Linked DNA regions of Lepisosteus oculatus. The protein of the gene in region 1 interacts with the protein of each later gene in a pairwise test. Links are inferred from orthologs where the notes say so. Each region holds a gene or a part of one and is shown on either strand. Other genes may lie near its edges.

Region 1 (8,118 bases):
ACATAGCACAAAATCTTCCGGTTGTCCCTTCCAGAGCGAACCATTGTAGAAAACCTCTTCACACTTCCTGTCAAGAGCCCTGTGGTGCTCAAAAAGTTTGAGTCCTTGAGAAAACAAAAAGAACGTGTAAATACAGCACAAGTCCAATTAAAAACAGGTTTTAGCTTTTGTAGGAATACATGTTAAGGGTCATGTGATTCACAAAACTCTAAAGTTCTAGGTAGTTAGGAACAAGTGGAATTAATATTTTATTGCTTGTCTGCAAAGAAGATGATTCTGTGTAACAAAATACACCTCAATATATAACACACCCCTGTATACCCACAAGTGGGAGAGAACATGGAGTTTGTAGGCATAAGAATTGACACGACACAAGTGGAATATTTCAGACAGACAAACCAAAATAACTGTTACTAAGACACCTGCAATAGTTGCAAACCAGAGCATGGCTTTAAAACTCTTAACTTTCATGACTCCAGCTCCTATTATTCCTATTATTATAACAGAACTATCAATAGAGTTGTGGGCCCACATAGCTGTTTCCATAATGTTTAACAATCCCCCAAAAATGTATGTAATGTAAAAATCCCCCCAAAAATGTTACTTATCATCAAAGTCATCAGTTTTTTTTTCTGGTGGAGTATATTAAGAGTTTTGCATCATTCAGCTGCAAGTCATTCTTGACCTTAAAGTCAATCCTGTTCCTTTGTTTCCCTTTAGGCTATCGCAGCTACTTTTTCAGTCCTGTCCAGTCACCAGAACAACCAAATAAGGTGCTGCCACAGAATCCTGAAGTTGTAGATGAACAACAGTACTATCACAAACTTTATAATGAACAAATTGCATTCCCAGTCACATTAGCATAATAATGTTTCAAATTCATATCTTATCTTAGGCCCTGCAAATTGCTCTTACCATGCCATCAAGATAGGAATTTTGGTCCTCAGCTTCTTTATCTATTTCAAAGGCCAGCTGTTAAATAAAAGCATAGAAACACTTATTAAGGAGTGCGCAACAGCAGTATCTCAGAGTCCTGTAGTAAATCTTTTGTTTCTGTATGATACGACTGGTAAACTGCATTCTTAGTTCTGATAGTAAAAATGTTGTGAAACAAAGTGAAGCCCAGGTTTGTACAAACACATGAGCAGTGTATTGGAATTCAATACTATTAGAGAATAGTAGGCTTGTCTCTGTATCGGTCTTCTGTAACGGGCCGTTTACAATCTACTTTTGCAAATTAAAACAATGAGATCATAAATCTATTACCAAGTTACTGATAAATGTTTTGGAAAATAAAAAAACGCTTTAAAATCATTTTAAAAACACACATATGCCACAAGGTGTAGTAAGAGGTTTAAATACATACTGATTTTAGTCTGGAGACTTTAGTGGCCAGATTGTCTGCCAAGAGCTTATTCTCAACATCCAGCATCTCATCCACAGCACCAGAGCCATGTCCTTACCACGAGGAAAAACAGCAAGAGAGAAGAGCATCACAAAGTAAGTGAGCACCCGTTTCAAAGCCTGTCTCAAGGCAGCACGAACACAGTTCACAGTGATAATATAAGCATGTTTGAAGACGATCAGACACACTAGAAACAAATTATATAACGCGGAAAAGGAAAACCATTTGAATTAATTATGACCAAGTGTGGGTGCCAGACGAAGCCTTAAAGAAAGCAGAGCTCTGCCCACCCTTGATTACTCCGGTTGATGCCACAATTTAATGATCAGAAACCTGTTTGATACAAACTACTCTGTGTGATCAGCGTTCCTTGAGTAATTTTAAGTAGATTAAACGAAGTAAAAAACCGTCTGAATAATGTTTAGGACGCTTACAGCATGCACATCATCAGCTTAAATGCTGTCTTTATTTTTATGACTCTACTTCGATTCAGCGATGTCTCGTTTGTAACAACTATTATACTCGTTACATTGATCAATTATTAGCTTGATGAAGCATCATAATTATATTTATTTCACTTGTTCTAGTCCAATTTACAACACCTAGTATCCACAACTTTATATACGTTTAACACACTTGTCAAGAGAAACTTTCAGACTATACAACCACACAAAAACACTATTAAACCAATAAAATATTATTTAGAATTGACTACGTGTCCACTTCCTACCTCTATTCCAGTCAGCCATCTTTGTTGACTTCCTTCTTCTGGGAAGAGGGTTAAAGGTAAAGTAACGGATACGTCACATCCTGTTACATTAATAGGGTAATGTTTGAAAGTAAAAATGTTATTAATGTCTCGTCCATATATAATGCTGATTTTATTAGAGTTGCCCTTTGGAATAAATAGATTGGAACATACATTGGCCTTGTCTTTCAATAAAAAAATAAGTGCACTATAAAATAATCCTAAAATATACGCAACTAATCCGATTGTTTCGTTTCTAAATTAAAAAAAATACATCATATTTGTTATTTTCGCCAATCAGGAAGAAAGAAATATCTTTTTGCAAATTACTGTGACAACAAAACAGAGTAAAATTATAAAATCAATTATAATTTAAATTCATTTTGAAATTAAGCAGAACTGCCTAATTTACAATAATTTTGATATATTTGTAACTATTAATAGTTAGAACAAACGCCAGAAGACACATCATCCTGCAGCTCACAGCTCACAGCTGGCAGCCCACTAAAGCTCAGCAGGGTTAATCCTGGTCAGTACTGGGATGGGAGACCTCCTGGGAAGCTATGGCTGCTGCTGGAAGTGGTGTTAGTGGGACCAGTGGGGGGTGCCCACCCTGTGGTCTGTGTGGGTCCTAATACTGTAGTGGGTGCTGTCCTTCGGATGAGACATTAAACCAAGGTCCTGACTCTCAGCGCTCATTAAAGATCCCTGGGCATTTCTCGATAAGAGTAGGGAGTTATTTTAAAAAGATATAATAACCAAATATAATAAAAGTTTTTTTTCAGTGTTACAACAGCATAAGAACAGATACAGATTTAAATATCAGAAGCTTTTAGGAAATGAAACAGAAAGGAGTGATATATTTCTTATTTTAGAGGGGTGGTCATCAGGATAGAAATCAACAACATTCCTCAGGCTGAGCAAAGGCCAAGATCTGTATTGAATACAATTAGCATAGAAGAGGTGGTGGAGTCGCAGGGATTAGAAGCCCCTAAAATTAACAGATAGGCCAGCCAGGGCCTAATGACATCCTACTAATTGGTTTTAAGGAAAGGAAAGATGTAACTATTAACCCTGTAGTGCCAGATTAATTATGTCATCCCTTAGTATCATCCCTTGAGTATACATCCCTTATTTATATCTCTTTTTTATCCTTATGACCAATTTTCATTTCAAGGCTAGAATCTGAGACTCAATCTTTTATGAGGACCATTATTAAAAACCTTTCTGAAAATCTAAATATATCATGTCATATGTCACATCCATAGCTGCTGTTATTTGTTCAAACTGTTCTAACAAGTCAAGCAAGACAGGCTTAACTAACTGCATGGTGACACCCTGGTTAGCATCGTTGTCTTGGACTGCTGGAGCGCTGTGCTCAGTTTTGGACCTGTGAATTAAATACAGATCATTTATGATACATACTTACTGTAGGTGTGTACATCATTTATATGTGGGGAAGGCAGAGAGTGAGTTAGAAATTATGATTAAATGTCTAGAATGTAAATAAAGTGATGTTTGGGCAAAACAGTAAAACACTTTAGTTTTTGTTTTTGTAGAATATTGTGAACATTTTTTTTTTTATCAGCACGTTATAAGAACATCATTACTGCTCTTGAATCATTCCAGAGAATGGTGTCCAGATAAATTCCCATACATCTGTGAGTGTCATATACTGATAGGCAAAATATTTTTAGTCTTGAGCAGGGAATACTACAAGGGGAATGCAAAATCCTTAAAGGCAATCCAATTGACTTCATCAGATTCAACATTGAAACATGAACCAGAGAACATAAATTAAATTTAAATAAGCAGAATCCTACACATTGTATAAACCCACAAGTTTAATGCTACCAGTAAAGGATCACACTTTCCGCATATACTTTCCATTTTCTACACTGTATTGACCAAAAAGAAGGAAAGAAGGACACATAACAACTGAGAAAATATACAGACCTCTGGGTTAGTCCAATTGTTAATTTTGTTAAGGAGAGGAGTAAAATATGACCTGTTAAGTATCATATGTTTAGTACCACGTACTGATTGGAAAATCAGTTTTTTTTAAATAAAAAAAGTATTTTAAAAAGTCTCTACAAGTCCTTTGATTCAACACTTAACTATCATACACATAGAAAATCTTTAGGAATTTTTCCCACCTGAGAATTGATATTGAAATATTTTTGTACAAGTCGTAAGAAGGTTAAGTGACTGGCAACTTTGTCTTTAGTATAGTTTTAGCTTAGTATCGTGATTAGTTTCACTCTTTGTTTTGTTGCAATAGAAGTGTTATTCCTTATTCCAAGGGGGATAATTAAATGAGTCGTGTTGTTGAATTCAAATGTAAAAGCTCATCAAATGTTTGTTAATAAGGCTTGTGAATCGCAGGCTCACTTTTCCAAGCACTTTTCTTTTATATAAGACGATTTGTGGACGGTATGTTCACCAGTTAATTGTAAGAATAACACCAGGGAGAAAGAGAAGAGATACACAAGAAAAAGAGCAAAAAAGAGTGCGGTTTTGCAAACCCTAAATGTACCCTTTTTTTAAAACAATGTGAATATGTCTATCTTAACACCTCGCGTTGTATCAATACATCCCCAGCATATTGTAGCAGTATTACACCTAGAGACTTGCACCTGATCGTGTAGAAACAAAAACGTAAAACTACATTTCCCAGAAATCCTTACGCACGCTTACAATCCTGCGTTAATCTTGTTCCAGGACTTTCGAGTTTCAGGGATAAGAGCTGGTAGAGTAAGGTAACGCAGTGAGACACATCAGAATATTACCCAAAGCAAGGCGTGTATGTGGTTGTCAGTTTGACTTGAACAACAATAACTGCGTCTGTAATACAGCAATGAAAATGGAATTCAATGCCATCATAGAAACGATGCAAACAGGAGACCAAGATGCCGCATTGAAGGCACTGCAGGCTTACAATAAGGAGGTATAATTTAGTATTTTTCATTTTTATACGTATTTGGTTAACATCTTGTATATTTATATATACGATTCGTATCCGTTAACCGTGTTTCCATGTGTGGGCTTCGAAATGCAGGGTATACAGTATCTGTGATTTGTTAGTGTGTTTAGCCGACTACCTTCTATTTTTACAGAAATGCATGTTTTCTGTCATTACCATCCTGACATGATGTGAACATCCTAAGTGTAACATATTTAATAGCTTCGATGTGATCTGGATTAGGGAGCCCTGGTTGTCAGCTTGAATGCATTTAATTTTATTGAATCAAACTGCCATTCACAATGGTACAGTTTGCATTTTTAAATTTTAAATGAAAATAATTAGCCATAACAACAGTGTCGCCCTAAAACGCAGGCGTATATTCTTGGTAGTAACTTTTACATTTATTTCTCAGCATTATTTAACGATGATAATTTTACATAATGGTACATCCACTCGCTGGAATACAGTTTGCCCAGGCTATTTTGTCATTGATACCAATGCTTTTGGATAGTGCAATGCAGGCAGAAATGTAACATTATTTTTTATATCAATAATCACCATCACAGCCTTGAAGAACAAAACGTATATGTAATACTTAAAATTATCTAGATCTTTGTTGGTTTTGAGATACAGGAAGACTGGGGCAATGGTCTTGGGCTGAGAGTGCAAGATACAGCTCTGTGTTAATAGTAGGTGTGTAAAGCACCTTCACCATAGTTGCCATTCTGATAGTGTAGCAAACTATTGATTTATTCTGTGCAGCTGTTATTTCAAGTGTAGTAGTAAATATCTTAATTGAAGTCATTATTATTTTAATATGTAGCTCTGGAACCCAAGCTTCACTCCAAGTTCCTTCTAGCAAGCTGAATAATACATCAGCAGGCAACTTTTTACTATTATTTTTACTTAATGTTTTTTGTGAACTGTTTTTACTTATCAGAGTAGGTACTCCATACAATTGCTTTGATGCAAGTACTGTATATAACGGTCTCTGAAGTTGTGAAATCTGGTGTGGAAATGAAGATACTTTGTGTGTATTTTTTGTTTCTCTACATTTTACATGGTATGACTTACAGATCATTTAATGCAACTAGTTATCACTGTTATAATGAGGGTGTAAGAGCCTCTTATACTTTTAGTGCCTAAATCTGATAAACGTTTTAAAGAATATTAACAGCCTTAGAGTACATCAATACCATCAGATACTTTTAATCAGCAAGGAGCTTGAAATCCATAGTTAAGATTGGGGTTGGGCTTTGTCCTTGTCTTTTTCCATCTCTTGTCAAAGCATTTAAAATGCCCAATGTCGGCATTTGTTTATGAATGTATCTACTGAAAAAGGTTCGACCATTCAACTTTGAAAATGATCAAACACAGCGTGAAAACAGGTCAACTATCAATATGATAAAATCTGATTTTGTTTTTTTCCCCACCTTGTAATCTGTATTTTTGTACATGCAAAAATAGTGCATGCTTATATCTATATTAGCATATGTGATATTCCTTTAAACCCCTGATATCACTAATGGTTCTTTCTTTTCATGTACTTTTCATTTAAATCACACTTAAAGATACTTCTGCAACAGAACATTGAGGTAATTCCTCAATACGCTGCCTTTCTTTGACGTGAATGTCAAGGAACTCCTTTCATCCTGCCCAGGAAGTCTCTGGTCTGTTCTGCGGTGCGTGTTGTGAAAATTGGATTAGATCATTGAGCCATGTGCAGCTCAGCTCATCTGAACTGTCCTGTTATAGACCAGTAAGTCACCTGGTGCCTCACAGAAGTCACGTTGACTACATACCCCTGAACAGTATCTCTGTTGCTCTTCTTCTGGAAGGAACGCTCAGCAGAATGTGATGCTGCTGTACTGTAGCTTTTTGCCCCTAGCACATCTCAAACAGCAACAGACAGAACAAGCTGTTCTTTCAGACTAACACCAGCAGTATCCTAAAGCCATATCCTAATTGGGTTAGAAATGTCATTTCCTGTTGCATGTTGATATACCCTAATTAGCTGTACATAGTGTGGGACTACATACAGTAAAAGAGCAAGCATTTACTTTTGTTGACATTATGTGAAAAGTTGTTAAGTTTACATGAACGGAAGACAAAAACTCATCCCCAGAATACTTCCGGCTTCCACTCAACTTTCCTGTTCTACACGATGGGTGTCATGTAGGTTATCTTCCTTGAAAGGTTAGAATAAGGCCTTCCAGGAGGTAAAACTGAGATACCCCCAGACCAAAAGAAAGAATAACATTTTTAAGCGAGTCTCCACGATACAAAACTGAAAAAAAAGTTTTTGGTTTTAGACAATTTGAAGAAGAACAATGCAAAGATAGAAAGTTGTGGATTGTAACAGGCCATATGTAGAAAGTGATACCCCCATTTAAACATGATCCCAAATGTAGTCATGATCCCTAACTAATCATTATAACAAAGTAAGAGTTGCAAAAATAATGATTATTTTTCTTTCCTGAGACAAAGCATTAATTTGTAAAACATTCTGCATAATTAACAAAAAAACCTTTTTGTCAGTTATGAGTGATTGCTCCTAATAATGCATGAAGGCAAAAAACAAACAAGCTGTTTTTTTTCCCAGCAGGACATATTTCTCCCATTAGTGGTGTTTGTACACAAAGTTGTTAATCAATATCTATCTTTATTCATGGCACCTTTATGTATGTGCCAACAAAAGTGGTTATTTTTTTCTTCTTGGTGTCTCTCATAAATGATGACATTACCTGGATATAAAATGAGTTGCCAAGAATTGATTATATATATTTTTTGTGTCTCTGTTTTAGAAAAGCCAGTGTTTCACATTTGAAGCAGATGAGTGCGAAGAAAGACAGGTATGGTTACTATCTCTTGTTATTCAGTGCAATTATTTAACAGGCTCAGAGAAGTAATAGATTAGCATGCTCTGTCATCACTTTTCAGACTCTTGAAAAGTATGAAGGCAGTGTCTCTGACCTCTGCTTCTTTGTCTTTTTGTCAACT
Region 2 (7,942 bases), on another chromosome or scaffold:
AGAGACGGGGACAGACGCAGAGCAGTTCGAAACCCGAGCGGCGGGGCCTGTCTGGGCCATGAGAGACACAGAGGGGTCCGGAACCGAGCGGCGGGGCCCTCTGGGCCAGGAGAAGCAGGGACAGACGCAGATGGGTCGTCACTGAGCTGCGGGACCCGTCTGGGCCAGGAGAGACGCAGAGCGGCCCGGGGCGGAGCAGCATCGTTGACTAAATTAAAGTGACTTAACTGGCCCACACCCCCCAGGTGCCGACGGTCACCTGACCCCGCCCTGGAAACCCCGAACCCGAGCCGTGGCGCGGGCTGGCGGAGTGTCTGAGGACGCACGAGGGGAGGAGGGGGGCTGACGGGCAGGCGGGCGGACACGCGCGGGGCTCTTACCGCAGGTCACACGCTCGCGCTGCTGCCCCGGCCGCGGGCCCCCCTGGGCTGGACCGGGCCTCTCCGGGGCGGCGCCGCCCCCCCTGCGTCTCCGACCCCGGCCGCGCTTCTGAGGGCTGGGGCTCGGCCTGGACGACTCGACGCCTGGGGAGAGAGAGAGAGACGGGCGGGTCAGGCTCTGGAGACCCATCTGCTCACACCCCCCCACAGACCACAGGACAGGACCCCCACTCGGTGCGCCCCACTCACCCGCACTCCACTGGGCCCCGGCGCAGACCGGAGGAAGGTCTGTCTGTCCACCACAGTCCTTCTCTGGCCGCTGGGAGGAGCTCACTGACGCTTCACCCCCGTACCCCAATACCGGGACTGCGCTGACACGCTCCGGGGACACTGAGAGAGAGAGAGAGAGAGAGAGAGAGAGAGAGAGAGAGAGAGAGAGAGGGTTAATACAGACACACTGACTGGACACTCCAGTACATTAACACTGCACTGAGAGAGAGAGGGGTTAATACAGACACACTGACTGGACACTCCAGTACATTAACACTGCACTGAGATAGAGAGGGGTTAATACAGACACACTGACTGGACACTCCAGTACATTAACACTGCACTGAGAGAGAGGGGTTCATACAGACACACTGACTGGACACTCCAGTACATTAACACTGCACTGAGAGAGAGAGGGGTTAATACAGACACACTGACTGGACACTCCAGTACATTAACACTGCACTGAGAGAGAGAGGGGCTAATACAGACACACTGACTGGACACTCCAGTACATTAACACTGCACTGAGAGAGAGAGGGGTTAATACAGACACACTGACTGGACACTCCAGTACATTAACACTGCACAGAGAGAGAGGGGTTAATACAGACACACTGACTGGACACTCCAGTACATTAACACTGCACTGAGAGAGAGAGGGGTTCATACAGACACACTGACTGGACACTCCAGTACATGAACACTGCACTGAGAGAGAGAGGGGTTAATACAGACACACTGACTGGACACTCCAGTACATGAACACTGCACTGAGAGAGAGAGGGGTTAATACAGACACACTGACTGGACACTCCAGTACATGAACACTGCACTGAGAGAGAGAGGGGTTAATACAGACACACTGACTGGACACTCCAGTACATTAACACTGCACTGAGAGAGAGAGGGGTTCATACAGACACACTGACTGGACACTCCAGTACATTAACACTGCACTGAGAGAGAGAGGGGTTAATACAGACACACTGACTGGGGGGTTGGGGTGCACACACAGAAAGGGGGTACAGGCCTCACCCGTCCTCCTCTTCTTGCGGCTGACGAAGGGCAGCAGGTCGTGGCGGGTCAGGACGCGCAGCAGCTCCAGCAGGGGCCCCAGGCGGGACTCGCTGCAGTAGCCGCGCCGCTCCAGCTCCAGCAGCAGCTCCACGCCGCACTTGGGGCGGTGGCGGGCGGCGAGCGGCGCGGGCGAGCCGCGGGGCCGCAGGCGGCGCCAGGCCTCCAGCAGGCGGGGGCCGGCCCGGGGCTCGGGCTCGTCGGCGGCCGGGTCCGGGGTCCAGCCGGCCGGGTGCAGCGGGTGGGCGGCGGGGCAGGTCTCGTCCAGCAGGAAGGACAGCACGTCCACGTCCGTGTCCGTGAGCTGCGAGCCCACCACCTCGAAGAGCTCGTGCAGGGACTGCATGCCGTAGTAGGTCAGGCACTCCGTCTCGTCCCACCACAGCGGCCGGCGGGCCGGGGCCGGGCCCGGGACTGGGACTGGGACTGGGGGCATGGCCGAACCGGCGGGCCTGGGTGTGGGTGCGAGTGTGGTCGGAGGTGTGGGCGTGGGCGTCCACGCAGGGCGGGCCGGCCGCGCTGTTGACAAACAACCCGGGTCACGTGCAGGCGTTATGTAAGCCCACGTGCGCCCCTCCTCTCCGGCTGGCCCCTGCGGTGACGTCACGAGCTCGCGGAAGAGGTGCGGGTGGGTTGGAGGTGTGTGTGTGTGTGTTTCCGCGACACAGAGGCGAGTCTACCCCAGCTGTCCCGTCGTGTCTCGCCTCCCCCACCCGTGACAAGCGGTCTCCAGATCCGTCTCCCCTCTGCTGCGCCCGTCCCGGGGCTCCGGCCAGCGGCGGCTGTCCGCAGAGTGACCGCTCCGGCCGGACCTGTGTCACAAGCGCTCTGCTGCGGTGCGGGTCGGAACCGGGCCGGGATCCGGGCGGCTGGCTGTGCGCTGGCAAGTTCAAAGCTCGTCTAGTGTCCGGGCTGCACAAACCCTGTCCGCTCTCTCTCGCGACTCGTCCGCTTCTAGCAGCTTCCAGAAGCAGCTGCGCGCATGCGCGACCGCCCCTCGCCGAGCGGCCGCCATCACCGAGGCACCGGCCAATGGGAGAGGAGGGTCTGCCGCACGTGATCTGCCGACGCCGAGAGTCGCCATGTTGGGAGAGGAAGCCTGCCCCCGGGCGCCCAGGAGACGGAGGAGGACAGGTCTTCCTGACAGGCTCGCTCACAGGTGGATAGGGGCGAGACTCGCGATGGCCGGCGAAGGAAGTTGGAAGCAGGAAGTCCGGATAGCCTTTTCCTGATTTCTGCCCGGCGTGTAGCTCGAGCTGTTCGTACCTGGAAAGGCCGTTAGAGCTGTGAGCTGGTACAGGCTGGTTACCATCGAGCCCGGACCCTGTGCTTCTCAGTGGTGACACGTGTCTGAGCGCACAAAACACAATATTCAAAATCAATCCTTTTGTTCGATTAAGGATTTGATAAGTTGCGTTACTTGCGTTGCTATCTCTGAACTGGCTCCATCACTCTGCTCTCCTCCCCACTGAGAGCTGGTGTGTGGGGAGCGGACTGGCGCATCATCCAGGTGGGGCTGCACACTGGTGGTGGTGGAGGGGATCCCCATGACCTGTAAAGCGCTTTGACTTGAGTGTCCACAAAAGCACTATATAAGTGTAAGGAATTATTTTTATTACTTAAGAGCGCTGCTGGCATGAAGCGGATCCGGGGCTCTGTTTGGCTGCCGGAGGCGCTATCCCGAGCCTGGCCGCTAGGGTGCAGAAGAGGGGCCTGCTGCTCGGTCGCCTAGCAACCAAAAAGTTGACGCCCTCACTGAGCTGCCAAACCGAGTTACCGTAATAACTGATGTAGCACAGACGCGCAACTTGGGTTCCTCCACAGTTTCCTCCACAGTCTACGGTTTGCGTTTACATAGCGCTGGTGTTCTCCGAGTGTGTGGGAGACGCACAGCGGTCATTCTGCACCAGTGGCCCCAAATTGTCGTTTCACGACGGTAAGATCTCATCCCGAGGGCAGTGCCTTGTAAAGGACGGTGTCCCTGTTCACCATACTGGGCCAGTGGGCTGGAAATTCTGGTCCAGAGGGAAGATAGTGGTGAGGTGCTCCACCAGCACCCCCTGACCAAAGCAGCCTCTATGGTCCCACACTGTCCAGATACCCCTACTGGGGCTGACCTGTCTCTCACAGTCTTCCTGAGCGAAATGCACCAGCGCTCGCACCCTGAGCTATAGATGTGTAGGCACCCCATTTGCCAACGGGGGTTTGACAGAGCCGGCCTGCGCGCCGTGCTGCAGACACGGAGGCGCCGAGAGCTAATTCCGGCTACCCGTCTATCAGGCGATTTACGGTAAATAGCCAGCTCGTTGGCCGCCCTACGGGGACACGTCACATCCGGAACTGAGCCGGAACACAAAGAGAGCATCGCCGAGGGTGAGTGTCTCGGAGTTCCTGAGACATATATAATTATTTCAAACCTTTTAATACTGTTTGGGATCAGACTGGGGATTGAGCAGCGGTGTCGAATTGCGGCTGTTGGTTCGGTGCGCGGGGCTAATGGGAAGAAGTGTCTCCAGTTCTTCCTGCTGGAAAACCTGGCTCACTCGAAAATGGGAAAAACCTTCCAATTGGAAAAAAATATTCACGGTCCTCCATTGGTATTAACGCCGTCCTGGTGAGAACAGACCACGTCGTTTACGTGTTAATAATAATAATAATTATTATTATCTCACTCACTTTCTAAACTCATCTTTACTGTTTGTTTTGTTTGGAACAGTGACGTAGAGAGGGATGTAGTGACGTCGTTGTTCTGGTAGGTTGGGTGATGACGTTATAGGCTGGCACGCAACGCGCCGAAGCTCACTCACGCACTCCCACGCGTGGAATGTGTGGCCCTGCGGGGTGCAGGGGGCAGTTTGATTCGTCCTCGTACGTCAGTTGAGTTCCAGGGGGATGAAGCTGGTTTTTTGTCCTTCTGTCCTGGCGCTGTCCGGGAAGCAGCAGAGCCGACAGCGGGACAGCGATGGCAGGAAAGACGGGGGATGTGTTCAGCGGGGAACCGGGAGAGCCGGCCGGAGGAGGACTGGCCGGGAAGTAAGTTCCCTTCATGGAAACGCTGTTGTTTTCTTAATCCCAGTGAATCACTAATCCAGCTCCCAGTCCAGTCAGTCCAGTCCAGCCTGGAGAGTCTCTACACTGTGTGGGCCAGTGCAGTGTCAGTGGGGTCAATGACAGGGTCAGGGTTAGTAGGGACAGTTCAGTGTGGTCAGTGTCAGGGTTGGTAAGGTCAGTAAAAGGTCAGTGTTAGGGTCAGTACAGTCAGTGACATGCTCAGGGTCAAAGACAGGCTCAGGGTCAGTGTTACGGTCAGTGTGGTCAGTGACAGGCTCAGTGTCAGTGGGGTCAGTGTTAGGCTCAGTGTGGTCAGTGGTGTCAGAGTCAGTGACAGGCTCAGTGTCAGTGGGGTCAGTGTGGTCAGTGACAGGCTCAGTGTCAGTGGGCTCAGTGGTGTCAGGGTCAGTGACAGGCTCAGTGGTGTCAGTGTGGTCAGTGACAGGCTCAGTGTCAGTGTGGTCAGTGACAGGCTCAGTGTCAGTGGGGTCAGTGTCAGTGGGGTCAGTGACAGGCTCAGGGTCAGTGTGGTCAGTGGGGTCAGGGTCAGTGACAGGCTCAGGGTCAGTGGTGTCAGGGTCAGTGACAGGCTCAGTGTCAGTGGGGTCAGTGTCAGTGGGGTCACTGACAGGCTCAGGGTCAGTGTGGTCAGTGGTGTCAGGGTCAGTGACAGGCTCAGTGTCAGTGGGGTCAGTGACAGGCTCAGTGTCAGTGTAGTCAGTGGGGTCAGGGTCAGTGACAGGCTCAGTGTCAGTGGGCTCAGTGGTGTCAGGGTCAGTGACAGGCTCAGGGTCAGTGACAGGCTCAGTGTCAGTGTGGTCAGTGACAGGCTCAGTGTCAGTGTGGGCAGTGTCAGTGGGGTCAGTGTGTGCTCCAGCAGGCGGTCACTCTCTCTGTGTCGCAGGCTCTGGCTGCCGCGGGGGCTGTCCGGGGGCGTGGCGCGGGAGTGGCTGGAGCGGCGCCGCGCCGCCATGCGCCCGTGGGCGGGGTTTGTGGACCAGCGGCGGTTCTCCAAGCCGCGCAACTTCGGGGATCTGTGCCAGAGAGTCGTCCGCAACCTGGACACCTACCAGAGCAACTACACCTTCATCTTCCTCGGCCTCATCCTGTACTGCATGTGAGTCCAGCAGCGGGGTCACGGGTCGTGGGTCACTGCTGGGGGGGGGGGAGGTCATGGGTCACAGGTCACTGCCGGGTGGGGTCACAGGTCGCAGGTCACAGCCCTGGGGGGGGTCATGGGTTGCAAGTCACTGCTGGAGGGGGGTCATGGGTCACAGGTCACTGCCGGGGGGGTCACAGGTCGCAGGTCACAGCCCTGGGGGTGGGGGGGGTAATGGGTCGCAGGTCACTGTTGGAGGGGGGTCATGGGTCGCAGGTCACTGTTGGAGGGGGGTCATGGGTCGCAGGTCACTGCCGGGGAGGGTCACGGGTGGCAGGTCACTGCCGGGGGGTCATGGGTCACAGGTCACTGCCGGGGGTTGCAGGTGGTTACCAAGGCGTTGCAGATCAAGGGTCACAGGTCACAAGTTGATGCTGAGGGATCGTAAGTCACAGGTTTCAGGCGTTCACTGACCCTGCATGGACAGAAGTTGAGGATTTTGAACACTCGCTCTGTCGCAGTGAAATGAAGCAGCTCTGTCTCCTGTCTCTCTCAGCATCAGCTCCCCGTTGCTGTTACTGGCCCTGGCTGTGTTCGTTGGCGCGTTTTATGTCATCCACCTCAAGAGCCTGGAGAAGAAACTGGTGCTGTTTGGTGAGTCCGTCTGTCTACACCTGTGCAGTGCAGTGTTCATGTACTGGAGTGTCCAGTCAGTGTGTCTGTATTAACCCCTCTCTCTCTCTCAGTGCAGTGTTCATGTACTGGAGTGTCCAGTCAGTGTGTCTGTATTAACCCCTCTCTCTCTCAGTGCAGTGTTAATGTACTGGAGTGTCCAGTCAGTGTGTCTGTATGAACCCCTCTCTCTCTCAGTGCAGTGTTAATGTACTGGAGTGTCCAGTCAGTGTGTCTGTATGAACCCCTCTCTCTCTCAGTGCAGTGTTCATGAACTGGAGTGTCCAGTCAGTGTGTCTGTATTAACCCCTCTCTCTCAGTGCAGTGTTAATGTACTGGAGTGTCCAGTCAGTGTGTCTGTATTAACCCCTCTCTCTCAGTGCAGTGTTCATGAACTGGAGTGTCCAGTCAGTGTGTCTGTATTAACCCCTCTCTCTCAGTGCAGTGTTAATGTACTGGAGTGTCCAGTCAGTGTGTCTGTATTAACCCCTCTCTCAGTGCAGTGTTAATGTACAGTGTGTCTGGATGAACTCTCTCTCTGTCTAGGGAGGGAGGTCACTGGGGGACACCAGCTGGCCCTGGCAGGAGCTGTGTCCTTCCCTGTGTTCTGGTTGGCTGGAGCAGGAGCAGCTGTGTTCTGGGTGCTGGGTGAGTTCCTGTCTGACTCCTCCCTCTGCTCTGCTCCTCCCCTTCCTGTGCCGCTGTACTGAGGCGTGTCCCTGCTCCTGTCACTCAGGTGCAACGCTGGCTGTGATTGGGTCTCACGCAGCCTTCCGTGAGCTGGAGAACGGGGACCTGGAGGAGCTCACCATGGAACCCGTCTGACCCCTGACCTCCTGCTCCTCTTCACCCTGTTTCCCTAGTTACTCTTGCCTCTTTGTCACACAAATACTCAGTCATTGTGACGACGCATTTCCCTGTCTGTCTGTATTTATTATCAAGGCACTGACTGACAGTACTGACAAGCTGATACCGACAGACTGACACACCGACAGACTGACACTCTGATGTAGTGACACGCTGACACAGCGACACACCCACACACACGGACACGGTGACACACTGACAAACCCACACACACTGACACACTGACTCCTTTTCCCAGAGCAGTGCTGGCAATCTGAAACCTTCCTTTGGCCAGTCTGATCTATTCCTGTGCTGTCAGTCAGACTCCCAGTGCACAGCAGTCTGATCCGCTCCAGGTGTGACAGGGCTGTCAGTCAGACTCCCAGTGCACTGCAGTCTGATCCTTTTGCACAGAAGGGACTCCCAAGTGGAGTAGATCAGTCTGCTGTGCACTGGGAGTCAGGTCTGGAGTGGGTTGGTCAGCTTTACTTTAGATGTCTGAATAGCTGTCTGGTCCAGGGAAGACCAGACTACAGAGCTCTGCGAG
Region 3 (8,130 bases), on another chromosome or scaffold:
AGTCTAATTGTCAACATGTCATCACAGAAAGACATACTGTTACATTGTAAGTGTTAATGGTGGGCTCACGATACCGAATACTAAGTGAGAGAACTGAACCCTTATGAAGATTTTACATTTTACGTAAACAGGTTCAAATATCCATCTCTCTACATTAATAATACAGTACCATAATAAGGTACATCTTCTGTAGCATTTGTGACAATGCCTCAACCACAAAAACAGAAATCCCCTGATACTTATGAGGTCAGGATACAGTGCATCTCTAAATCCTGTTCATTCTAGTTAACCACAGACTTTATAATTTTCAACATGCTGATAGGCTAAGAGCAGCAAAGCACCCACTTAATTTTTAATGCAAATGACTGATCTCAGTCTACTTTTGTTTCATTCGCTTAGTGCAGCTGAGTCTTTACCAATGTTGCCTGTAATTTGAACTAGCTATCTATGTTACCTGGAAACGCAAATGCATCAGAGCAGCAACGGCACACACCTTCTGACTTTCAAGGTGAATAGCTCATGCAACATTACACTGAGCTCTAACATATGGCTCTTTCCAGAAGGCTAGAGGACACAAACAGATTTCTACAATAGATCAAGTGACAGGAGAAAGGAAACTATGAATTTTACGTCTTTACCAACAGGTGGTTAAGAATATTCAACACGTGACTGCAAATTCAAAATATATGTCAGTTTTCATTAAAATAATAAGCCTTCAGCATTGAGCCAAAAGAGATGCCCATCTCTCTCTGCACAACTTTCTTGTAGTCTAATAATTAGAAATTATGTTTTCCTCAAAAATCTACTAAAGACTGGCACATAACTAAGATACGTGTTCTTAAAATTACAAAAAAAAAGCTCAAAATGGTCTATACCTGTATTACATATAGAAGATCTTTAGGAAAAAGGCTACATCAATAGTTAATTTGTTAGCAATCATCTAGAAGAATTCTCATTCAAAACAAGCTCTTTTGCTGAATTATACTGAAAGAAAAAAATCTAAAATCCAGCAAATCACCTGTTGCATTCTTACCAAAAACAATTAATGAATATTAAAAGAAAGACAAGCAAGTGAAGAGTATTAGATTTGCTTCAAATTGTTGCTTCACATTATAGATGCGCACTTGAACAAATTATCTTTCTGATATATTTTATACTCAATACAACGCGTCAATTAATGTTATGTAGTTTGCTCCGAGGTACAACTCCAATGGACACTTTTTTTTATTCGTACTCATTTGCCCAAACTAAAGTTGTATTTTAACAGACAAGAGGCCAGGAAAGAGAGGTCTACTGTTAACTAGAATAAGAAGCACAGGTACAGTTCCTTTGTTTCTACTTGGGCTGTGAAGAAAATGTACACAGTCAAACGCGCTATCTATATAAATCCGAAAGGTGCCACTTGCGAGAGCCTGTTAAAATATCCACTGACTTCTTCCACTGCTACACTTCAAAGAATTAATTTTATCTCCAAGCTAGCATCTTTGAAACTGCCGTGTAGGTATATAGGCTAGATCGCTGCATGCACTCAGTACTGTGTGCACGCAATGGCTATGCAAGTAATTTACCAATAAACATACTACTCAAGTCCATTTAACGACGTGTGAGTGGAAACAATACATGTATTTTGTGGGCAACGATTGTTCTAAGCCATATAATAACTGCTGAATTCGTGCCTCGCCAGCGACTGTGAAAATCAACATCAGGTGCTGCATACGCACATCCACCCAAAAAGTTTTAAGAGAACAGTGTGACGCAACTGCAAAAGACATTTTAAAGCTGAACAGATACAAACGCCGAGCCTATAACGGAAGCTTAGCTGACGTCTGACAGGAAACTACTGTAAAACAAAAAAAAATCAAACATCTCCCCAATTTAAATGGTAATTTAACTGTTTCACTTGTGCCATTTTGAATCAGCTGGGGAACAATATCACAAATCAACAGGTTTCAATCCTACTGAAAGCAATTTCACACGCAACCAAAGCCCCATCACTAGGAAATGGTGGTAGGTGGGTTTTGAAAGCTCCTTTCTCGCAAAAATAAAGCCAAGAGGCGCTTGTGGGCCTCTGAAACAGTTCGGCCTGCCTTCACTCTCGCAAGCTTCCTACAAGGCGCCTGGACCTCCCCAAAAATGGTAACCGCACGGCTGAAGCACAAAAGAAATCAATGCAAGAATTAGCCTCTTGTGGCCATTTTTGTCGCATTCACAGAGTTTCTTCTCAACGCCTCACGAGTAGCTAACCCCACTACCGCACGGAGGAACACAAAAAAAAAAGTCGTTTCGCCAATTTGGAAAACAACCATCAAAACCGATAGATGTTGCATGTTAAATGACCCTTCCCAGGATAATTATACATGTTGCTCCTACATTGCTTATGTAGTCATCTTAGTGGGGGGAAAAGGGCTATTTCATAAAAAAAAAGATATGAGATTCCAGACATTAAAAAAAAGTATCCATTCATATATCTACACATTCATTAAAATTTCTCATTCAGCTACGTTGATCCGTCAGCTGAAACTCGGGATTGGCTTAGCAACACAAGCAAACTGTACACGATTAGCTCGAAAAGTTTGCCACCCTCCTTTCCTTACCGAGAAGGAGCAGTTTGACCTCCCTGGCCGCTTTCTCTCCGTCATCCCGCAGATTCCGGTCTATCATTTTACTGCGCTCCGCCGCCGCCTTGTCCTCAGTGCTTAAGGTGCACCCCATCCTCAGACCGAAACGTCTCGCAGCAGTACGAAAGTTGGAAAATTAAATCTGTCCAGCACAAACATGCAAGAATCGGGGGAAAAGGAGAGAAGAGGGGGTGGTCCACGGGAAACAAAAAACACAAACACGCCCTACTCCAGGCAACCAAAAAAAGAAACGGTTCACTCGACACGAATAATCGAGCGACTTTCACAAAACAAAAAAAGTAGACGTGATCTACAACTCCCCGTCGTTAATCTAACTGAACTCGTATCAGTGTTTTTTCCCCTCTTGAGGGTGGAGAATACAGCCCCGGACCGTAAGCCAGCGCCGACTGCCTCCTCTCAGTCACTCGACTGACCGACTCCTGCTGCTGCTTCCTGTTCAAACGCTGGGGCTCGCGCACGCGTCTTAGCAGGCAGGCACGCGCCCATTTCAGGGAGCCCCTCGGTCTGGTTCTTGCGCCGCATCTGCTGTGTCTCAGCGGCGTAATGTTTTAGCTCCTCTGCCCTCGGTGAATGTCATGCTTCATTTGGTATTACAATAAGCCAAGGAAGCGCGTAGTGTCTGAGCGTTTCCTTTGTTGTTGCATTTTGAGTTTCATGCAACCAGCTGGAGGTACCGTGTTCATGCCACCAGGTTCCACCCTGTCCGTCTCAGTGATGTGACGCGGTGCTGCTTTGTAACTTTTGGGAAGTATAGGGTACGTTTGGTTTTATGGCGTCTTAAGATACCCTACAAAGAGTCGTTAAGTCACTACCGATGACAGTTTGTATTCGCTTAAGGTTGTTAAATTTGAGTTTGTGTATTTTTGGTTTTTGACTTGTGGTTTGGGGCAAATAAAAGTCCCCCAAATGTTAAGACTATTCGACAGCTCACTTCACTTTCCGAATCAACACGGGAATATATACTTTCCCAACTACACGTTGCATTTTTGTAGTCGTAATATCAAAGGAATCGTTATTTTTTGTCTTGGTTCAGAATCCCATTTCAGGAAACCAGAAGCCAGTTAAATAATTCTCATTTGTTTGACAAACGTCACATTAAGGTGCACCCTCTTCAGATCGTCATAGACGGCTTTCGTCTCCATTTTTAGATGCGACGTTGTATCTCTGTATCGTCTTCCCGTTACTTATTAAGATTTAGCATTACCACAACTGTTTACAATTTAAGTGACAGATATGCAGCTCACATAACACAGTCACTGTCATCAGCATTATCTCAATATTTATATGAAATGTTTAAACAATTACATATTTAGTTTCACCATAAAGTATACTTATCTGGTAATTATATCTAAATTTTATTTTTTAATCTCATATCATATACACCTTACTTGCCAACATTTAGAAGTATACTGATAGAAAAAATAAAATATTTTCTGGATTGAGAATCCTAGTTATAGTTTACGAACTTTCACAAAAAGTTGTCAGTTTGTTTTAAGCCCCCTGACTAGCAATACAGCTCGTGCAGTGAGGTATTGCAACTTGCCAATCACACAAAAGCTCATTAGGTACCCTTTTACCCAATGAGGTCCAGGTGGAACAATACCTGATCAAGTCACCTTTAAAAAGGCCTTAATTCAAAGCTTAGGTCACTGTAAGAAAAAGGCCACACTTTTCTGTGCATTCCATAATGCCTCGAATGTCACCAGAAGCAATGGAGAGGGCCATTGGCATTGTTCTGCCTATCTGACATAAATATTGGTAGGTATTTATTTTAGTTAAGTAATGCCTTACAGATTAGGTTGTCTTCTAAGGTACTATATAGCACGTACTAAGAATTGTAATCTGCATCGACACAGAACTCCAGTCTTATGTAAATTGTATTGGCTACCTGTGAAATTATGAAAGGGGGGCTATACTCAAGATACACTGAATCAAATCTCAGTGAAGTGAAAATAATAGCTGTAAGCAATCTGAAGAGATTGGAAGTGCACACTGATGCCCCCTGGAACACAACCTGCAAAGTCCACAGGCACCCTAACTGCAAGAAAAATGTAAAACAATGAGATGGTTTGATAAAATGAGGTTTCACAGTAAACTGTTTTGCAAACAACTTTCTCATTTCCAAAATGGAGTATTTTGTTTTTTGTGATTATGTCTTGAAGAGCCTCATGTATGGTCCTCAGAAGGCTGATCGGGCTGAAATTGAGGCCTGGGATTTCTCCAAAGAATGTAAGCATACAGTACTCCTCCTTGCTGTCTGGAAATGGTTTATGTGTTACTGGAAGAGCTCATCTTTGTCAAATGTGATAAAGGGAGAAATCTTGTCAGGGAGCAACAGGACTTTTCCATAACCTAAACGTTAACCATGCTATTTGTTTATTCGAGGCTTAGGCATGCACTCTTTCCTGCCCACTTTCCTACCATCATTATCATTTTCTCAACCACTGCTCATTTACCAAGGAGCCCTCTGCAGCTAAAAGGTTTGTGAATTCCTGCCACTGTGCATGGTTTTGCTCTGGTGAATTTGATTAAACCACTAATAATTTGCTTTCTCATATTTGAAGTTAAAATGGCTAAGCACTCTCCTGGATGAAATTTTAGTTTCGTGATATTAAATACTGTAGCACAGTATTTCCATAACATTCCATTACTCATTCCATACTAAGATTAATGCTTTACATGTCTAATAACATTTTTGTTTTAAATCAGCTTTTTACCAGAAAAGTATTTGTCTTTCAGCGTTTTCTGTGGAAAAAAAAATCAAATATCTTCTTTCCTTAAAATGTACTGTATTATTATTATCTGGCTGATTGAGGTTTTAAATGTTTGTGGATTCCTAAACCTGTGTGTAGTTGAGTAGAAGACTTTTTGGACCACTAAAACATATCATTAATAACAAATCTCAGCTGCACTTTATATATAGTATTTAAAAGTGTGGATTGTACAGTGTTTATTTTCTTCTTGCTTTCATATGAAATTAGCCCTTCAATTTAAAACCCATCAGAATGACATTTTAAGAATACCTTTTGTAGTTTTTAATGTGTCTCATTTTTTCAAATAGTATCAAGAATTTTTTTGCATTAAAATAGTTTAGGTTATTGAAGTGTATCATTGCATGCTTATCTTCATAATAAGAGGGAGTGTACTCTTGAGACATTTCCTCCTTTATGTGTGTAGTTCTCTAAATGTAATCTGCCTGGGGAATCTTGTTTTTTTTTTCCATCAGAAGGTTTTACAACTTCTGCTTCTACATACCCTCTGAAACTCACAACTATTGTGGGGACTGCAATTTGAATGTATTTAAAAAATGTTTTACTGTTGTAAAAAACAAAAATAAAAAATAATCACATCTAGTATGTGTATCATTTCATACTACCAACCACCTTATCTACAGTATGTAACGTTCTTGTCTCCAGTTCTCTTAAGCACCCACAGCGACCAGTCACACCAGGCACCTCTTCCTGTCAGAAGTCATTGCATCACCAGCTAATACATATCCAGTGTCACATATGTACAGTATGTGACCCATCAGGGCGTTTCAAAATCAAACACATGTGTATCTGGTAAACTTGTTTATTACATCTTTTCACAGAAAATGCTGTTGCATTTACATCACTGAAATAGGAAGGAGACACTCTGACCATTTCAAGAAATAGTGAATTATAGTAGTGAGTAGTGAGGATCAAAGATTTCTCTAAGCCAGTAGGTCTCCATTTTGTCTCTCCCAGTCATAATTTCACTGACCTTTTTGTCTGCATTCTTTTACAAGGATTGCAGGACTCCACTTCAGAAAGACATTAAAAGCCAAGATTATCTTTAAATGTGGATTTTACCTTCCCTCTTCTACTGACTAATTTCTGTTTACAATCTCTCCATTCATGTACAGATTGCTGCTTTTCACACCTCTCCCTCACTTGGACAATCTTTCTCACCCTGCTGTGTGCCTATTCTCACCTCTTTTGTCCTTTGTTTATGCCTGCATTTGTCTCCCAAATCGGTCTCCATCTAAAGAAGGAGAAAGAGAAGAACAAAACAATTCTATCCCTTTTTGAATGCTTCTAATGTAGATGTTAGTTTTTCTTCTATTTGCTGGCCTGTTTTAATTTTTGTACAATAAACAAAAACAAGGTCAATTCAGTTCTGTCGTGTACATGGACACAATGAAGTGTTACTTTACTCATTACCATATTGTAATTTAGCAGATGTTGATTATGTGTATGGTGTAACGTAATTATACATACAGTAGGAGGTGGTGAAATTCCACCTCATTCTATTGCACTATTTTGTAAAGGTCTTCTTTAAAATATATGTTTTATAAGTTATAATGACATTGGGGTGACAGGATACTCTTTGTAAATACACCAAAAGCTTGCTTTGATTCCTTACATTGGAAATAAGAGCATTATTCTTTATTTAGTGGTCCTCAGGACCACTTTGTCTGCCAGTTTTCTTTTCAGTTGAGCTTTTAATTTCCAGTGCAAATCCATTAATTGATCTGCTTGCTTGTTTAGACGTTGTTTGTTTCTGCACTTTTTTAAAATGATCTTGTTTCAGGGGCATTGTTTCAAGCAATTTTAACTTACAGAACTTTAAGCAGACTCTCTTCAAATTGCTCATTTCTGACTAAGCAGCTCTTAGTAGGTGATTAATTATATTAACACTTAACACTTGAATTGTGCAGTCCATAAAATGAGAAATTAGTACATGGTCGATACCAACAACAAATCCCTTTCATCTTATTCAGGACTGTAAGCAAATGTAAAATTGTGAAAACTGAAATCAGTTTGCCTGTGATTAAGAACTCAGCTACAGTGAGAACATGAAGACATAGGAGTCCTCTAGGACTAGGCTTGGGGACCATTACTTTATAGCTTTATGGTCAACCAAGTGTCCTACGTATTCCTAGACAGTTTGCACACAAGTACAGCCTCCCCTACTCACCTTGTCAAATCTAGTCAAGGTGCAAACTTCTGGAAATCAACAAAGTTTGCACTACAATAAGCCAGTTATACAAACATATAAAACAAAAATATAAAACAATAATCACAGGATTACTTCTGTGGTATGTTTTAACCATTAATCACAAATGTTATTAAAATCTAAAAGAGAAAAAGTCAATGATAAAATTCTGGAAAATTATACAATCTTGGATGTTTTAAATGTCTGGGAAAAAGACATTCTTTGATTACTTTAAATCTTAAATGATTTCAGCTAATGCAGGCTAACCATAATGTTTATATGTTCATAAAGAAATGGAGCGTCTTGTACAAACATTAAGATTAATTGTTTCAAATAACCAGCATTTTTTCAAGCTTTTATCAATTTATTGGTACAACGGTATGTTGACAGTCTTTCTTCATATTTATCAGATCTCCATAATACCACATTGCTTGAGATCATTGGGGTGGTAAGACTTGTTGCACAAACTCCAAAGAAAATAGCATATAACTGGATTGAAACATTGTATATTTGCAATTAAAACTCACACTAT

What was found.
Region 2: the proteins of ric8a (region 1) and rabac1 interact in binary tests that used the Homo sapiens proteins (3 or more experiments, as listed by UniProt). The link is inferred for Lepisosteus oculatus from reciprocal best matches to the Homo sapiens genes RIC8A and RABAC1.
Region 3: the proteins of ric8a (region 1) and gnai1 interact in binary tests that used the Homo sapiens proteins (3 or more experiments, as listed by UniProt). The link is inferred for Lepisosteus oculatus from reciprocal best matches to the Homo sapiens genes RIC8A and GNAI1.

The regions. Positions count from the first base shown.
Region 1 is NC_090716.1:11,899,640-11,907,757, reverse strand, and holds the start of ric8a (synembryn-A), read left to right. Parts: upstream 1-4,848; 5' UTR 4,849-5,010; coding exon 5,011-5,100; intron 5,101-7,922; coding exon 7,923-7,970; intron 7,971-8,118. Other genes in the region: bet1l (BET1-like protein), read right to left, coding at 1-104, 916-972, 1,367-1,458, 2,136-2,154.
Region 2 is NC_090722.1:9,966,620-9,974,561, forward strand, and holds rabac1 (prenylated Rab acceptor protein 1), read left to right. Parts: upstream 1-4,630; 5' UTR 4,631-4,689; coding exon 4,690-4,760; intron 4,761-5,682; coding exon 5,683-5,895; intron 5,896-6,433; coding exon 6,434-6,531; intron 6,532-7,095; coding exon 7,096-7,197; intron 7,198-7,285; coding exon 7,286-7,374; 3' UTR 7,375-7,461; downstream 7,462-7,942. Other genes in the region: dedd1 (death effector domain-containing 1), read right to left, coding at 381-524, 630-770, 1,689-2,163. UniProt on the Homo sapiens protein: General Rab protein regulator required for vesicle formation from the Golgi complex. May control vesicle docking and fusion by mediating the action of Rab GTPases to the SNARE complexes.
Region 3 is NC_090702.1:34,832,959-34,841,088, forward strand, and holds the start of gnai1 (guanine nucleotide-binding protein G(i) subunit alpha-1), read right to left. Parts: upstream 3,313-8,130; 5' UTR 2,713-3,312; coding exon 2,595-2,712; intron 1-2,594. UniProt on the Homo sapiens protein: Guanine nucleotide-binding proteins (G proteins) function as transducers downstream of G protein-coupled receptors (GPCRs) in numerous signaling cascades.